2 linked regions of the Nothobranchius furzeri genome follow. The main gene of each other region encodes a partner of the protein of the gene in region 2 in a complex. Links are inferred from orthologs where the notes say so. Each region holds a gene or a part of one and is shown on either strand. Other genes may lie near its edges.

Region 1 (5,047 bases), on a different chromosome or scaffold from region 2:
TCTGACCGTGGAGAATGAGCTGATCTAAAAGGCCAGGGCTCCTGATCGCAGCGGTTTGGCTCTGCTTGTAGTTTAAAAGTCCCAGTCCATATTAGATCTCCAAAGCCGACCAGCACGACTACAGCCTCACACACAAGTCGGTCGGCTGTGAGAGTGGGCTACCCCACGGTCCCCGGAGCCCTTCTTAACTTCTTGGGTTAGCTAGTAGCCATATTGGTCACAATCCCTGTTGGGAACCTCCCATTTTTGGCTTCAACCTGCTCCCTGGTGGAGCAACAGGTGGGCTATGTTCATATTTTTATATGACGATGATTTCTGTCCATTTAAAATAACAAATAAAAACGTGAAGTTACATTTGGATGGCTGACTTCGTGTATCCTACCATTATTGATAATTTAATGTTCATGAATAATCTGTTTAATTGGTGAGGTCATTAGCAGACATATGAAGAAGTTTTACTTTTTAAAACTCCTAACCCCATTTCACATGTGGGACTATCGGATTCTGTTTCCTTAACAAGAGCAAGACAAAAAGACAAAAGCCTGGGAACTGATGTAACTTCAGTTTTCTGTTTTAAATGTAAATGAAAACAATAACGTGACTTTGACACTGAACCCAGGTGGAAACAGGAACTGATAACATATAAGAAACTAGGGCTGGGCGATATACCGATATTTTTAAAATATCGGTATAATTTTTAAACAAGATATAAGATGACTTTATACCTTTATAACTGGTCAAACTGCTATGCTAGTGACATGTTGCTCCGTCTCTAAGGGGTTATTACATGTATTCTCTCAAGTTTGCTCAATCTGAGAGCCTCTGGGTAAATGTGCTGGTCTAAACTTAGCATGTGGCGTTCTGGTTTTTAATTATTTGGGGACGTTCAACGCCAACGGAGTTCTGTTTTCCGTCCTGCTTGTGTGGAGAGACGAGTCAAACCCCTCCCTCCCCTGTGTAATGAGGAAACATCTACGGAAAGCCGGAGTGGGCAAATTACTTCAAACATATAGTAAGGGTTTGAATAGTAAACTATAGGGTTAACGTTTTATTTTGAAGGCGAGCTCAACGGGTGAGAAATGTTGCTCCGGGTTTTCCGCTGTGGTTTGTTATGCTAATAAATACTCCCGTTACGAGCAATTCTGTTGAAAAAGTTAAGAGTTTGTAAGGCGTGGGTTACGGCGACAGTAGCTCAAATATATTACTCATAAAAGAGCAACCAGAGACTCTGAGTCATTACAGTATAATCGCTGATATGAGTCAACACTGATAGATTCCAGCCATGTTTGCCCTGATAACTAATAACTCTATGGTGCATGACCCATGTGACCTTCAGTAGATGCAATTGCATCATCTACCTGAATCCTCTTGCAAAGGCTTACGTCTCGGCCTGGCCGCTCCGGTCATCACAGGATCGTCGGCTAGCAGTGCCTACACCACGCTCAGGACAATCCAGGCTCTTCTCATGCATCGTTCCACAAATGTGGAATGACCTTCCAAGCACTACCAGAACAGCGGCTTCTTTTTCAATTTTCAAGAAACTCCTGAAGACCCTGCTCTTCAGAGAGCATCTTCTTAACTAGCACCTTTCCTGCACCCGTCCCTCCCTCTAACGTCCACTCCTTTGTTCCCTCCTCTCCATGACTGATGTCAATGTTGTTGTTGTTATTGTTGTTGTTAGCCTCAAGGGCTACATGCCGATTATCACTTGTAAGTCGCTTTGGACAAAAGCGTCTGCTAAATACATAAACATCATCATAAATTTAGCCTAACATGATAGATTTTTGTTATGGACAAGAAATAAACGATATGGGCCACCTCTAGATGAAATCTAAATCATTTTACATTACTAATAAATATATAATAAAAAAGTCCCTGTGGGACATTTGATACACCTCTAGCTCTCAACTGTGTACGTGTGTGAGTGTGTGTGTGTGTGTGTGTGTGTGTGTGTGTGTGTGTGTGTGTGTGTGAGTGTGTGTGTTAGCAGACAGTTGTACCAGTGTTTCTAAAGCTCAGACTGGTTGAGAATAGGCACTAAGGTTAAAGTTGGACAAGAATCAATACATTTTTATGCATTTAATCTACTGATGTATGTTTATAATTTCTCAAGACAGCTTGAAGTGAGTTAACTTGGAAATACTTTACAGGAGGAAAAATATTGAGATATACATCGTATATCGGAATTCAGCTAAAAGATAGAGGAATAAGTTTGGGTCCATATCGCCCAGCCCTAAAACAAACCATCAACTCAGCATCAGCACCTACTCACCTGGTCCGGCCCAGCTGTCCCCTGATCAGCAGAACTCCTGCAGCATCAGCATCGAGCGCGGTCACCTTAAACTCCAGCTCTGTCCCGACTTTAGGACCAGCGTCCCTCCAGGTCTCTATGGACACCAGAGTTGGCCTGGGAATGCTGGCATTGAAACAACTGTGCACGAGGCAGCCAACATGGCTCACTCCCAGTTTATTCACTTTACCCTGTAGAAAACAAACCAACGACAGCAATTGGTGCTACTGAGATGACTTCTGATTAATTCTGTCCATCTTACCAGGAGTTTCTGTCCCCTTTTGGGCTGAAATACAATGAAGCTGGCTTCTATGTCCATGTGGATGTAGCCGCTGTCATTGTAGATGTCCCCATTTCTTCCCAAAATCCTAATGTTGTCATAGGCTAACAGCACTCCATTCAAACTGGAAGACACAAAACCAACAGCTTTAACTGGAACGGGAATACCAGCAGTTTTCCAAGCATACTATGACACAATCCTGACTCCATCTTTGACTTGAGCTCAAATAAACCTCCTGATGTTGAAGATATGTTACGCTGCTGATTCCAGTTGTTTAAAAAAAGATCAAATAGTTCATTTAAAACACAAAGAATACACCTTTAGCTGTCAGCTGACTGCCATAAAATGCAAGCACAGTGATTAAATCAGGCAATCCCGCCTGTGCTCGTCTTTCTACCTCTGGGAAAACTTCAGCAGCTCTCCGTCCAGCTCCTCCTGGATGCCAGTCTTCTTCTTGTTCAAGTACTGCGGCGCCAGAGCGACGTGTCTCCGGTGGGAGTTCAGCACCAGACACGAGTACGGCACCGGCAGGAGCTCCGACGCGGCCGCGAAGGAGGGGACCACGCAGCCCGCATCTCTGTCCGGAGCAGAGGACGGCTTCACCGGGGCGCCAGCAGCGCTCATATTGTTGGACAAGTCCACATGTTTTGGATCCTCCACAGCATGCTCGAAGTTCGCCATGCTGCCAGAGGACCGGAAGACAAACAACCGAGACTGTCGTGTTGAAGTTAGCGACTAAACCTTTATGCTGCCCCCTGCTGGCTCGGAGGTTCACTGGAGCAGCGCTCTTTGGGAGACCGTGAGCTAATAAGTACAAAAGATGTATTATATAGAAGATATTCAATTTTGTGATGATAAATGCAATAATAAGTTTCTAAGATCTTCATTAAGGAATCTTTTTGATCCAAACTTACTTAGACGTAATTACATATTAAAAGATTTCCAAAGGGAAGAAATTGAAAAAATAAGAAGTGATATCACCTTCCCTATCGCTCCTAAAGGGAAAGAAGTCCAATTTTAATTTTTGACCAAAATTTACCCAACCAATAGACTCCTTGGGGATAGATTCAATATAGAAGCTGGTAATTGTGTATTTTGTGAAACAGAAGAGGAGGACTTAGGCCATCTATTTTTTGTGCAATTTTATACAAATATTTTGGTTAGATTTTCATGCCTGGCTTTGTTCTAGTGGGATTCAAATTGCCCCATTTACCTTAAATATGATAATGTTTGGAGTGTTTTTGAAAGAAAAGAAAGTTAGTTATGGTGTTAATGTGTTATTAATTTTGTGTAAACAATTTATACATAAATGTCGATTTTTTAAGACCAAACCAACACTAGCCTATTGGAAAAACAACTTAAAAGTATTAGTTAAATCTTTGAATTTAGTTAAAAAGAAAAAGGCTGGTTTGTTATTTCCTTTGTAGAAGATTTTGAGTTAGTAAGTTAATAACCTGTTAATTATGTGACCCCATCTTTAGATTTTCCTTTTTTTCCATATACATGAAAATGTTGAATATGCATGTAATGATTATCTTTTGAATATATAATGTAAGGTGCATTTTGTTTGTATGTTATCTTCTCTAATAAATAAATAAATAAAGTACAAAAGATGTATTTACGCTGGTGCTCTCCACGTGTTAACAGTGCTATACTTACAGTGTTGCCATGTGTTGGATTCACAAGCTGATCTCTCTGTATTTCATCAATAATGTAAAAGAAAGTAAAACTAAAATAGTGACATTCCTGTTTTGAAACCCAGACTCAACAAAACATATTTTGTTTTTAACTAATCAGATGATGAGATATAAATCTGCTTTATGTGAATGATTGACATATTTTAAATGGATCAGTACATAACAGCTAAGTCAGTCCCTGTCCCTGAGCCCTGCCCAGAGCCTAAGCAGCAATGCCATTTTTTCATAGTGTTCAGCTATTTTGTCATAAATGAACAAATACTTCCAAAAACTACAGAATGTTCTGATTTCAGGTGAGGCATTGTAGCTGACCCACCTGTGAGAGAAAAACTGTAAGGCTTGTCTTCGGCACTCAGACATCAGTTCTGATTGTTTTTCAGCCGGACAGGACACGGCGAAGAACTGTCTCAGAGATCAACGTTTAATCTCCGGACTAAAGTTAAAAAACTATTTAGTCTAACTTTAATTAGAGTCCACAGCAGGTTTAGCACCTTTCAGTTTGGCAGGTTTACATGGTTCAGTGAGGAGTTTTAAATCAAAGTAACTCATCTTTATGTTTAGTTTGTTTAGAGGGTAACAGCATTATTAGAGCTAAATAATAACATAAGCATTATCACTGATCTGATGCACTAAACCCATGCACTCTCATTATATAAGCTTTAGATCATGCACAGATACATCTGGAAAGGGCATTGATTCTGCATCCTCTTCACATTAAAACCATTAGGGTGACCTGGGGTGTCAGCTAGTGTAACACACACACACACACACACACACACA
Region 2 (4,310 bases):
AGATGGCAGCGCTCACAGCTGAGGAGCTGAAGAAGATGCGCGATGAAGGAGGGTGAGAAAAGTCAACGCTCACACTTGTTTTATCCAGCGGTGTTTTCTTGTATTCTGATGTGTTTAATCTTCCTCCTGAAGGTTTCTTTGTGTTGTCAAGCATCTAGAGAGCTTGCCACCAGCGGGTGAAGCTAGAGAGAAAGTGGCACGCTGTGCCTTTTACCTCTCTCTGCTCTTCAAACTGGCTCGACAGAAAAACATCAGCCGGAAGTGTGAGTGTTTCGGTTTTTCTTCATCAAATATGAATCAAACTGAACGAAGTTTAACAATCAGGTTTGGTCGGGCAGGAAATATTCTCTCATGGTTCCAAATACTGAGAACATGGCAGCTACTTAATTCTTTTATTACCACAACAAACAGTCAAAAGCAGGTAGTTTAGTAATAAAAATGTAATGGAAGCATGATTGTGGATTTGGCGGCGGTCCCCAAACCCGCTGGTGGACACCTGACGGTTAGGGATGCTGTCAAGCTGAAGAAAGAGTCCTCTTGGGTCTTTTACTGTGGGACTCCGGAGGGAGCTGACAGATACCGACAGCCCAACTGGAATGCAGCTAGAGTAGTTGCAGCGGTAAAAGTCTAGGCGTGGGAGGAGTTCGGTGAGACCATGGAGCAAGACTTCTTGGGAGATGGTGTGCTGCTGACCTCTACTCGGGAAATTGTAGATCTGTGAGCGCAGTATTTCGAAGACCTCCTCAATCCCACTGGCATGTCTCCCAGTGAGGAAGCAGAGTCTGGACTTCTGCTATGTGGTGGAGTTAAGTCATTCACTGCCAGCCGTTTCCTGATCAGAAAAGCCCTTCGCTGCCAGCATTTTTCAGAGCTTTCACTTTTTTTAAGAGCCACAGAACAATGCGCGCTATGATGATGTCAACTCCAAAACAACCAAAACAAAGCGGAGACTCACCTCTTACATCAGGTAGAATCCACGCATTTTGAGCGTTATCCGTTCTTTCATAATCTGTTGTTGAATTGTGATCGGCAGAAGCTTTTCCGGTTCGCGCCTCACTTTTTTTTACAGCAGCGGCCCAAAACGATCTCCTAACACATGGATGTTCTGCTTCCTGATCACGTGACGTGTGACATACGTGGATGAAGATAAGCTTTAGAGCTGTGTGGGGGCTCGTCCGACGCCCACACAGTAAAAACATGCAAATGATGACTTTAGTCGTCAATGGCAGTGTATGAGTTAATGCTAATGGTTAGCTTCTACTAGCTGAGACGTTCTCTGCTGTTTCCTGGACACTAAACCAACAACAGCCTTCAACGTCGTGAGGCAACATGGGTGAGTCCATGAATAATAAGTGACGGTGTGACGCAGATCTGTCGGGATTTTCAAATCCTAGTTTCAATGTCTACTTTCTGTCAGAAACTAATGCAGGAGATAGGTGTAGGAGACTATTTTCATGTTCAGTCTTCATGAAAAACTCAGTGACTGAATATAATCAGAAGTCATTTTAAAAGGGGTTTTCTGTGTTCCACACCTTTTACTGTGATGTAGCCACTGGCGAGGCAATAAACGATCTTAAAGCTCCCAGACTTATCTGTGCCTATGGTAACAAGGCTGGCCGTGTTTTGTTGAAAGAGGTGGGACAGAATCTTACTTAAAAGCAGAAATAGTCGAGTCAAAGCCCGAAACCCCTCATCACCAAGCCTGGGTTTTACCAGCAGTTCACGTATTACGATAAGTTTAATGATCATTTTCAACACATTTGATAATGTATAATATTAAACATTGAGCTCTATTATTGTCTATTGGATGTGTGTGTGTGTGTGTGTGTGTATACAGTTGGGCAGGAGGAGGGCTGTCCTCGGATCATTCAGACGAAGCTGCTCAAAACTTTTAGTGTTGAAACTTTCAACAATGGCAGGTATGAAGGTGATTCTGAATGTTGAGCATCAATTTTTAAACCAGGTGTTTGAAACCAACTTTGACATTGATATTATTATTCCCCTTCTAGGATCCAGAACTTTGTGTCAACATCAATGCGGGCCAAAATAGCAGCATACAGCCTGGCTCTGCTGCTGCATATGGGTCACATGACTGCTGACCTCTCCTTACTTCACCGTGACCTCGGAGTCACCGAGGCTAAGTGAGCAGACTTAGATCTATGTTGTCGTTCTTTTTTAAAACACAGAAACGGTTTCGTTTACCTGTTATTGACGCTACAGTTTCGCCGACGGCTGCCGGCTTCTTCAGGCTGACGCTGATGGTGGCGCGTCACTTCCTTCTCCATTTATCTGCGGGCAGTAGAGGACGTTGTCGCCCTCTACTGCCCGCTCTCCCCTCTCCGACGATGCAGAAGAAGCAGAAAGTACAATAAAGAAGTCAGCCGTAACAGATCATTGCTTAAGAGAAAACCATGTAATGGACTGGGACAACACACGGATCATAACCACTGAACAACAAAAATACAAAATATGGATCAAGGAAGCAATCGAGATAAGGAGACGTGGATGTGGGACCATGAACAGGGACGACGGAGTTTACACGCTGGACCACGCATGGGACTGCATCGTCGGAGAGGGGAGAGCGGGCAGTAGAGGGCGACAACGTCCTCTGCTGCCCACAGATAAACAGAGAAGGAAGTGACGCCACCATCATCGTCAGCTCTGAAGAAGCCGGCAGCCGTCGGCGAAACTGTAGCGTCAACAACAGGTAACAAAACCGTTTCTGTGTTTTATAAACGAACGACAACATGGAATTAGAAATAACGCACAGCAAGAACACACCTAAGATGTTCAAAGACTTAGAACTGTTTGCAACGTTCTGACTTTTATTGTGCACCTATATAACTCCACTCCTTCGTTCTAATGTCACAGAGTGTCTGTGAGGTGTTCTACATGAATTCTGCTCGCTGAAATGTTGTTTCCTTACAGGATGATCGAAGTTGCAAAGTCAATGCGACTGTCTTTGACCAAACCGTCCCGGCTAAAAGGCGACGAGGTAGAAATGAGCCAGGAAAACAAGCAAGCCTCCGTTGTTCTGCCTCTGGTCAAATACGAGTCGTTCACCCAGAGACGGAAACGCAAGAAAATGCACTGAAGACCGCGAGAAACCACAGACTTTAAGAAGTGGAAACACCACAAACAGTTTATTCATGTGTTTTGTAGACAAATAAAGTTGTTACATGATGTTTTTTATTTTTGTCAAAAATACAAAAAGGAAAACGCCTAAGAAGCTGTAAACCTCAAGACGACAGAATATTCAGTTTCAACGTAGAGGCACATTTGTAGACATGACATATTGCACAATTAACATGGATTCCCTCCTGTCTGGTTACCAATGGGCCATTCCCATCTGTACCGGGTCGGCCCGGGCCGGGTAGCGTAGGTTGTTTACATATCTGGGTGGCCTGGGATTTTTCCGGGCCAACCGAGGCTCATTCTCAGCCCTCTTCTCGAGGGGGTCTGCTTCAGGCCGACCAGGGCCAACACACCCACTGCTGACAGCAAATTCACACCTTCCATTAGAGCAAGCCTCTGATTGGTGGGTAGAATCAGCCCACATGGGCTTAAGGCAAGGATGTGTGGAATCAACCGGGCCAGGCTGGGGCTGACGGGCTACCCGGCCCGGGCCGACCCGGTACAGATGGGAATGGCCCACAAGTGAGTCACCATGCAGCGCATCAACGCCATCTTCAACAATAACAATCCCATTAAAATGAGCCGAAGCTGAAACCTGCTTTCTGTCCCGACCCACCTGGAGACAACTCTGTGCACGAGGCATAAACTTCGTTTTGCCTTTTTTTTTTTTTATTGCATAGATTTTAAACGATCAACACCCCTATTGTGGCTACAGTAGTTCATTTCTGAAGTAAAAAAAGGCACAATGTGACTTCCTGAAGCCTTGGACTCCTGCTCGGGTTTGTGAATGTGCATATGCTAAACCAGAAAATCTCAGGAACAATCCAAAGTCACCCTGAAAAAGAACATTTTAGCGTAACGCCTGTGAGAGACTACAAGAGGACTCGGGGATTTCTCAGCTGCTTTGAAGTGCGTCCGGTCTGCTTTAATCTCCAACACTGGGCAGAAGATCACATCTGTGATGTTTCTTCAACCTCTACTGCCAAAAACTTAGCAGAAATATAAAATCCTATCAGACCTGACCCCTGAACGCACCGACGAGACGCCCGAGTGGAAACCAACACGGCACTTTAAAATAGCTGAAAAATAAATACATTTTGATAGTAAATATTTTTTATGAGAATGGGTATTAAAGCCAAGTTTGAAAAGTGACGGCACAGATTTACACAATGTGC

Evidence for each region. Proteins that work in one complex are often made in the same cells at the same time.
Region 1: polr1e (region 2) and polr1f share a complex: the UniProt entries of both Homo sapiens proteins name them as parts of the RNA polymerase I (Pol I) complex. The link is inferred for Nothobranchius furzeri from reciprocal best matches to the Homo sapiens genes POLR1E and POLR1F.

The regions. Positions count from the first base shown.
Region 1 is NC_091751.1:28,040,881-28,045,927, forward strand, and holds the start of polr1f (DNA-directed RNA polymerase I subunit RPA43), read right to left. Parts: upstream 3,297-5,047; 5' UTR 3,252-3,296; coding exon 2,968-3,251; intron 2,695-2,967; coding exon 2,553-2,694; intron 2,482-2,552; coding exon 2,273-2,481; intron 1-2,272. UniProt on the Homo sapiens protein: Component of RNA polymerase I (Pol I), a DNA-dependent RNA polymerase which synthesizes ribosomal RNA precursors using the four ribonucleoside triphosphates as substrates.
Region 2 is NC_091747.1:78,705,379-78,709,688, reverse strand, and holds the end of polr1e (DNA-directed RNA polymerase I subunit RPA49), read left to right. Parts: coding exon 1-52; intron 53-132; coding exon 133-263; intron 264-1,837; coding exon 1,838-1,919; intron 1,920-2,009; coding exon 2,010-2,141; intron 2,142-2,928; coding exon 2,929-3,094; 3' UTR 3,095-3,183; downstream 3,184-4,310. UniProt on the Homo sapiens protein: Component of RNA polymerase I (Pol I), a DNA-dependent RNA polymerase which synthesizes ribosomal RNA precursors using the four ribonucleoside triphosphates as substrates.